2 linked regions of the Oryctolagus cuniculus genome follow. The protein of the gene in region 1 interacts with the protein of each later gene in a pairwise test. Links are inferred from orthologs where the notes say so. Each region holds a gene or a part of one and is shown in the gene's direction. Other genes may lie near its edges.

Region 1 (4,491 bases):
TTTGGTCTCATTTAGAGAAGATAAATATGATCACGCGAGTTTTATCTCATTATTTTTAAAGACTTATTCATTCGAGAGGCAAAGAGACAGAAAGTGGGAGAAGGAAGCGGGGCGGGGAGGGGGAGAGTTTTCCATCCGCTGGTTCACTCCCCAGATAGCTGCAACAGCCAGTGCTGGTCCTGGTAGACGTCAGGAGCCTGGAGCGCCATCCTGGTTCCCCTTGTGGGTGCAGGGACCCATGCACTCAGGCCATCTCCTGCTGCATTTCCAGGCACATTAGCAGGGAGCTGGATCGGAAGTGGAGCGGCCGGGACTCGAACCAGTGCTTGGATAAGGGATGGCATGCCAAGCTGCAGCTTAAGCTGCTGTGCCACAAGTACCCACCCTTAGCTCATTCTTGTAATTTTTTTTAATAAGAGTGTGTTTGGCTTTTTTCACTTTATTGGGTATTTTCATCTCCTTTTCAGATTGCCTGTTGTCCTTTGATGATTTTTTTTCCTCTAAGAGTGTTTCCCTTGATTTGTAAAAGCCTCAAATAATGAGAAAATGAACAAAACACGTACACCATTGTCCTCATAGGAAAGCAATAGCCCCGGCTTCCGTCTCAAGCCCTGTGCCAGCCCACAACTTTCACCTTCACGACATCACTTTTTTTTTTTTTTTTCTTTTGTCCCTTCTCTGGCCCAGGAAAGCTTTCCTTACCTGTGACTAAGAGTCACCATGAAAAACAGAGTTTTTGTTATATCCGCGACTGTCTTTGGTTTTCCCTATGGGGAAGGGTCTATCCGTGCCCAGACTATGAAGTCGGTAATGCCATTCTTGTTCCATGGCCGTAGATCCTGAGGCTCAGATCCAAGAGGCATGGTCCTGCTGGGGAGTAGTGGAGTTGGGCCTGGCCCGGTGGTCCCGGGTTGGCTCCGGTCCTGTTGGCCCCCTACCTCAGGGCCAGAGTGGACTCTGAAAATGACAAACAAGGCATCAGGGAACCTGGACAGGGCTGGAGGCTTCACAGAGCCCTTCTCCCGGGCTCTTGGCCTAGGAGGCTGCTGTAACGACCACTGATGACCCCAGTCCACCACCGCCGCCCACTGGGAAGCTGATCCCAGAAAGGTCAGAGGCTGGGGCTGGCGGGGTCACAGACTGGAAGGTGGAAACTGGCATATACTGAGCACCCACTGGGTGCCAGACCTTGGAAATATCAGAGGTTAGGGGTGACTGGCTCAAGCTCTGCCCAAAGCAGGCGCCTGTCACACAAGCAGGTGACACCCTGATGGGGGTATTGTCTCCCAGTGGTGCCGTCAAAGCTGTGGCTCTGGCTCGCAAGGTCCCCGCAGCACAGGTGCGGACCACGGCTCCAGGGGCCGGACCGAGCCGGGTCGGGGCGGGGGGTGGGGGGGTGGGTAGCAGCTTCTCTCTGGTCCCCTGGCTCTCGGAGAATGGGGCGGGGCGGAGCGAAACCCTGCCCAGCGAGGGAGGAACCAAGGCAGACCACGCCCCCACAACCATTGTGTCGGGGGAGTTAGCGGGCGACCGTCCCAGTGTAAGCCAATCAGAGCTCGGTATGCAAATTAGTGAGCTGGGCGGCCGCCTGGAGACTCGAAGCGGTCCGCGCCGCTGCCCTCCCTCCGGCGGGCGCACGGGGCGCAGGACCGCGCGCGGCAGAGCCGGGGTCTCAGGTGAGCGGGTGGGTGGGCCGGGGCCGGGAGCAGAGGCCGGGTCACGCGGGGTCTGGGAGCGCACTCAAACCCAGAGATGCTCGGAGGCACGATTTCTGACGCTCTTCGGAGGACCCCCCACCCCAATACACACACACACACACACACACATACTCCAGGCTCATCAGACTGTCCGCAGATGCCTGGGGATCGCGGGGTGCGGGGAGACTGTCCCCCTGGAGCCTGGATAGACCCTCACAGCCGTCTCCCCGTCCTTGCGCGCAGTGCTGTGGATCGCAAAGAGAGGAAGCCGGCAGGGGGCCTGGCCACCCGCACCATGGCCAGCTTCCGCTACCACTCGGGATACTTGGCCGACGATGAGGCCGGCCACAGTCCCTATGTGGCCCGGGTAAGTGATCCCCCGCAGGACGCTGACCCCAGGGATCCCTGTGCGTTCCCCCTGAAACCACAGCCCCCTTGCTCGGTGCCTGTGGGCCTCCTTAAGCAGCCGTTGCCGCTGCCTTGTCCTTGCCCGGGGCCCTCCTGGGGCCTCATCACCCCCCACTTCCCTTCCCCGTGTCCCCCGCTGACCTCCAGCGACCCCAGGAGGGGTCCTCGGGGCCTAGGGCTCAAGGTGAAGAAGTAGGTGCTCCGGACAGGGGCGACGGAGCTGGCCTTGGGCATATGGGGAGCCAGGGTCCTCTTCGCCCTGTAAAAGGTGTCCCTGCCCACTACCCACTGTGCTCTGCCTGTCTGCCCAGGTGCAGTCTCTCAAGAAACCCCCATTGCCACAAATGGGGTCGGCCCGTGTGCCACCCCCGCGGTTCACGCAGGGCACCTCAGCGCAGCCAGGTCCCCACCGAGACACCAAGGGCCCCCAGTCCTTCGGCAGCTTCCTGGATTTCCTGACCGAGGGTCAGGTGCTCGAGAGCCTGCAGACGGTGGTAGAGGAGGCCACGGAGCGCATGGCCACCATGAAGACGGGGGCTGGCGTGCCGCTGGTGGAGGTGCGAGATCCAGTGGTGGAGCCTGCCAGCGGAGGGCGGCGGCCCCGGGCCCGGCCCACCTGGAGCACGGTCTGCCGGAACCGCGCTCAGCCCAGCCTGTGTGTTGGCCGCCCCAACAACTATCCATCCCGCTCCAGCTCCGTGTCGGACTCCCGCAGCAGCCTCACTGCTGGCTGGCTGGGGTCCCATGGCCAGGGCAGTGACCTGGGGGCCCGAGGCTCAGGCTCCCTGCCCCCTCTGAAAGACAGGCTTTTGCTGGAGCAGAGCCTCAAGCGGTTACTGAAACTGGAGAGGAAAGGGGTGAGATCCGAGGGCAAGGCTTGGCGGGGTGGGGATGCGGTGGGGTGGGGCGGAGACTGGGGCGGGAGGGGCTGGCGGCTTGGCAGGATCCTGGGCAAGTGTGATTCCCCCTCTCTCCGCAGAAAAGCAGGAGTCAGCCCTCCCGGAAGGACTCCCTGCGGTGGGATTCCCTGGGCAGCCAGACCACCAGCCAGTGGTCCCCGGAGCAGCCCCTGTCCTGGTTCTCAGACCTGCTGAGTTCCAGCACGGGCACCCCGGAAGCATCAGGGCAGACGCCCAGTGAGGAGGAGCTGAGCTTCCTCAAGCAGGAGTTCGACAAAAAGCTCATGGCGCTACTGAGCCAGCCGGCGGCCCTCGACCTGCCTGGCTACTGCTCGCTGCGCCAGCCCCACTGCACCCTGGACTTTCTGGCTCAGCATCACCTGTTCCCCGCGCTGCAGAGCGTGGTCAGCCAAGCTGTGGACAAGCTCAGCGGTGCCCGGCGGCACGACGGCTGCCCACTCTTCCCCGCCAACGCGGAGGCCTCATCAGAGCTGCCCCTCCACTACAATCTGCTGCCCCCAGGCTCCCAGCTGGCCTCGCCCACCGACAAGGAGGAGGCAGCATCCCCCAACACCACCACCTCCATCCCCAGGACGGAGCGCAGGAAAAGCAAGGGCACACGGGGCTCCCCCTCCATGACTAGTGCCACCAGATTCAAGCTCAAGGTGACACCCACGGGAGAGCCCGCTGTCCCAAGCCTCTCACATCACCCCAAGCAGGAGGGGCCTGTCTCAGAGCCCGAATCCCAGAAACCGCCTGTGTCCCTGAGCTCCAGCCACAGGGCCCGGCCCTGGCGGGGCCTGCACCTCACGCTGCCAGCCCCTGGGGTCACGGTGGAGGTGGCCTCCAGCCATGGGCGCCTCAGGGGCCCGATCACGCCTCCACCCCTGTCCTCCTGCCCGTCCTCTCCCCGCTACTTCGTCCCCATGCCCTCTCCCACCACATCCTTAGTAAGAAGCCTTTCCCAGTCCTCGGCTTCTCTCTGCCAGGGCTTGCATTCCCTGGGACCTAGACTGTGGGCCAAGGGCTCCTTCACCCACCACTGCTAGCAGCGCTGTCACCAGGCAGGGCGGCCCCAGGGACCAGGCCTCTTGCCCAGTGCTGTTGGAAATCTCCCGGGCAGGGGACAAAAGCCGATGGAGGGTGTTTATCTAAAAAGAAAAAAAAAAAAAAAGAAGAAGAAGAATAAAAGTTATTTTTTATCCTGGGTCTTTTTTTTTTCCTCTCCTCTTCAACATTGATTTTGAATCTTGGAGGCCCTGCAGCACGAGAAAGGGCCTTTCTCATCCCTCACGGACAGCAGCCTTTGGCCCAGGGCAGGCTTGAATTCTAGGTCTGGCTGCCTGTAACCCAGGGGCAGGGGCTCACTCCGCGCATGCGTGTGCGCTGCTAAGTGGCGGAACTGGGGGGTGCCCAGAAAGGGAAGATAGCAAAGAGCAGGTGGCTCGCCCCTGGGGGGGGTATCCCGGCACAGGCACTGTCCCTGC
Region 2 (3,496 bases), on another chromosome or scaffold:
TCTGTCTTGTCTTAGGGCAGTATATGATGATTTCCTTTTTTTTTTATCACAATCAACAACTACTAAATACTTTTTCATAACAATGCCCCTTTCTTTATGTTATCTCTCTAGCTGTGATAACTGTTTAAAAAAGGATTTCAAGTTGAAGAACAGAACGTTTGTACTTGGGATGAGTTTCAGTCTTTAGTCACTGCACACACAACCCCGGTTTATTTCTAATATTTTTGAAAGACATCAAAAAGTAGATGGCTTTGAGTCTAATTTCTGACTATTAGAGACTTAACTTCTGAGCTCCTTCTAAGAAAATATTTGTCAGGGTGGTTTGGAAAGTTTGGAAAGGAAGGCAGGGAATAAAAAGGCTCCTTTACTCTGATGCCTGGGGGTATCAAAACCATCACACAAAGTTTTATAAAATGCCCTAAGTCTGACAACCAGACTTCTCTCTGAAGATTTACTTTACAGATTACATTGCAAACACCAGCTGTATTCAGGAAGGGTCCCTCCTTTTTCCAAACAAAATTTTGCAACAGGCCAGCAGTACAGTATGTTTCCAAAGTGATGTTAATGTTGTGTGGAGCCCAGAGAAAATATTTTCTGTGTGGTACAGGTCTACATAAACAATGAGGCTTTTTCATTCTGCAGGATGAAGCATTTCTTTCAAAAATGAAAACTGGTTATTTCTAATTTTCTGAGGCATGCTACTTAAAAAAAAAAGGAAATAGAAAAGTATACACAGCCCATTCCCCTTCCTCATCTCCCTTTCTGACGAGTCCCCTTCTGCCTCTTCAACTCAGTCCTTATTCTAAACTTCCTAGCAGGGTAAGACTTAGCGGCTAGGTGGGCATTGGTGACTGAAAGGGCAAGATGGGGAGAGAGGGCACAGGGGAAAGTTCAAAGCCAAGGAGAAAGGAGAGAAAGCAGAAAAGGTCAAAACCAAGAATGCAGTGAGGTGGGAATGCGGGTGATGGAAGATAATACAGAACTTCCTTAGAAACCAGCAGCGAGCAAATTCCAACCATAAGGCGATGATGCCACTTGTAGGCCCTCAGATTGGAGAGTATGGAGATGAGTGACAGGGCGGTGTACATCGGGGCACCACCGCACAAAGATAGGCGGTGTGAGTGTTTCGGGGGCGGGGGGTGGGTAAAGGATGCGTGTGCTTGTGGCTGCTGGGGGCGGGGGGCTCAGCAACACTGGCCGCTGGAGTCGGGGGCGAGCGCGGCGGTGACGCGCGGCCGTCACGTGACCCCGAGCTGCAGAGGGACGCAGCCTCGGGTGCAGTCGTCACTCGCGTCTGGCTACCAGCTCCCCGCTGCCCTGCGCTCGGCGGGCTGGCATCGGGCCCGGGCAGAGCGGAGCAGGTGAGGGCCCCGGCGGCCAGGGCGGCAGCGGCGGGCGAGGAGAACAGCGCAGCGGGCCCCGCCGCTTTCTGTTTATACAGTGGCCCCCAGGAGTAGGGGTGCAGGGGCGGCTGGGGTGCTGGAGGGGAGAGCAGCAGAGCAGGCAGGAGCCAGAGGAAGTCCCCCCGCCCCGGGACGCTGCGGGAAAACGGTGAACACCGGAGGGGGCGGGGCGGCTCTGCGGAGGGACGCGGCCGCTGAGGGCCTGGACGGAGGCGCGGGGGCCAGGGCGGCGGGAAGGGGCCGGCAGGGGGCGGGGAGGGGGGGCGTAGCGGTGCCGAGCGCTCGCCTGCAGCCGCCCCCTCTCCCCGACCCCGCCGTCTGCAGGTCTGCAGGTCTGAGGCGCTGAGTGTCGCGGCGGCGCGCCGGCGGCGAGAATCGGGAGGAGGAGGAGACCGCAAGGATAGGCCCAGGTCGGTGGGACAGACCGGGGTGGGGGCGGCGGGGAGGAGCGTGCGGAAACCCTATCTGGGACCCCAGACCCCTCCAGCGACCCGTGCCCCCTCCCCCTCCCTGTCCCTGTCCTCCATTTTGGTGCCTGCAGAGCTCTGGGAAAGAATCCTGGGAAAAGAAAAATGGTGGGCTTTGGAGGGGATGGGGGATGAGGGGAGGAGGAGGAGAGAGAGCTAGAGGGAGGGGCTCGCATTGGAGGCCCCCTAGAGGGCGCACGAAGCGTCGAAGGTGGGAAAAATTAAACCTGTGGTGTCAGGGCTCTGAATCCTGCTGGTCAGTGCACCACGCATTCAGTCTCTCCTCACCCTTTACTTGTGTCCAAAGAAACACAGCCAGAAAAAAAAAATTCAATTCACCATGGCAAATATCCACCAGGAAAACGAACCAATGGAGCAGCCCATGCCGAATGGAGAAGACCGCCCTTTGGGAGGAGGTGAAGGCCACCAGCCTGCAGGAAATAACAGACGGGGACAGGCTCGCCGACTTGCCCCTAATTTTCGATGGGCCATACCCAATAGGCAGGGCAATGATGGGATGGGTGGAGATGGGGATGATATGGAAATGTTCATGGAGGAGATGAGAGAAATCAGGAGAAAACTTAGGGAGTTGCAGCTGAGGAATTGTTTGCGTATCCTTATGGGGGAGCTCTCCAATCACCATGACCATCATGATGAATTTTGCCTTATGCCTTGACTTCTGCCCTTTTCCGTGAGATTAATACTGTGATTCCCATTGATTTCCTTTTCCTTGCATTTTCCCAACATGCCTTTATGGATCCATTTGCTGTGAACCTTATGTTATTTCCATGTGTCAAGTGGGTCTTGTGTTGCCAGCTTCTAATTGAAAATTGCATCTGCACCCAGACTAAGTTTCTGTCAGAGTAGAGTTTCATCCATTTGCATGGAAAAATGTAAAGTTAATAAAGCAATTGAAAAGCAATCTAGATATTTATTATTGTCTCATTGAAGAGTATAGACTCATAAAACAGGAGCCAAAAGTATGAAATGAAACACAGCAAAGTGTTCACTGGGATGCATTTCTGTGTGGCGAGATATTGTGTGACTTTTCCTCTTTTTATCTGGAGTTTGAGAAGCAATGGAAATGATTTTTCAACGAGTATCTGAATAAAATGCAGGTACATAACAATTACTGGCTCAACAGACCTAAAGAAGAGTAAACCTTGATATTTTCCAGTCTTAACTGAATAATTCCTCCCTTCATTATAGTTACATTACTTTAGAGTCCTGTGAAATGAGGAACAATGCTTATCTTACAGGGCTGCTAAGTGGACCAGATGAGGGATGAAACTGTTGGGCTGGCTCCTCTTTAACTCCCAGCATTTAATAGGCTCCTTTCGCATACTTTGGGAGGACTGGAAGGAGTTCTCACCCATTTTCACAAGTACAGAAAGCAAAAATATGTGGGTTCTCCTATTCCATTCTTCCATTGTTTGCAATCTTGCTCCCCTGCCATATCCATATTCTGCTCCTTACTGATTTGGTTCTTGTTGAAGACATGAGTCTTCAAGGTAACTAAACCTCATGGATTTCTCTGGAGTGCTTGGTGAGCCAAATCCCCCTTTGACCTCTCTAGAAGCCTGGGGAATTAAGTTTATGCAGTTGAGTGCAACTCCCATGGTTCTT

The links.
Region 2: the proteins of CCDC116 (region 1) and BEX3 interact in binary tests that used the Homo sapiens proteins (3 or more experiments, as listed by UniProt). The two-hybrid records come from large-scale screens. The link is inferred for Oryctolagus cuniculus from reciprocal best matches to the Homo sapiens genes CCDC116 and BEX3.

The regions. Positions count from the first base shown.
Region 1 is NC_091452.1:29,153,864-29,158,354, reverse strand, and holds the start of CCDC116 (coiled-coil domain-containing protein 116), read left to right. Parts: upstream 1-1,387; 5' UTR 1,388-1,676; intron 1,677-1,940; 5' UTR 1,941-1,992; coding exon 1,993-2,064; intron 2,065-2,416; coding exon 2,417-2,962; intron 2,963-3,084; coding exon 3,085-3,669; intron 3,670-4,491.
Region 2 is NC_091453.1:90,036,134-90,039,629, forward strand, and holds BEX3 (protein BEX3), read left to right. Parts: upstream 1-1,306; 5' UTR 1,307-1,361; intron 1,362-1,363; exon of another isoform or gene 1,364-1,551; intron 1,552-1,727; 5' UTR 1,728-1,813; intron 1,814-2,177; 5' UTR 2,178-2,210; coding exon 2,211-2,546; 3' UTR 2,547-2,792; downstream 2,793-3,496. UniProt on the Homo sapiens protein: May be a signaling adapter molecule involved in NGFR/p75NTR-mediated apoptosis induced by NGF. Plays a role in zinc-triggered neuronal death.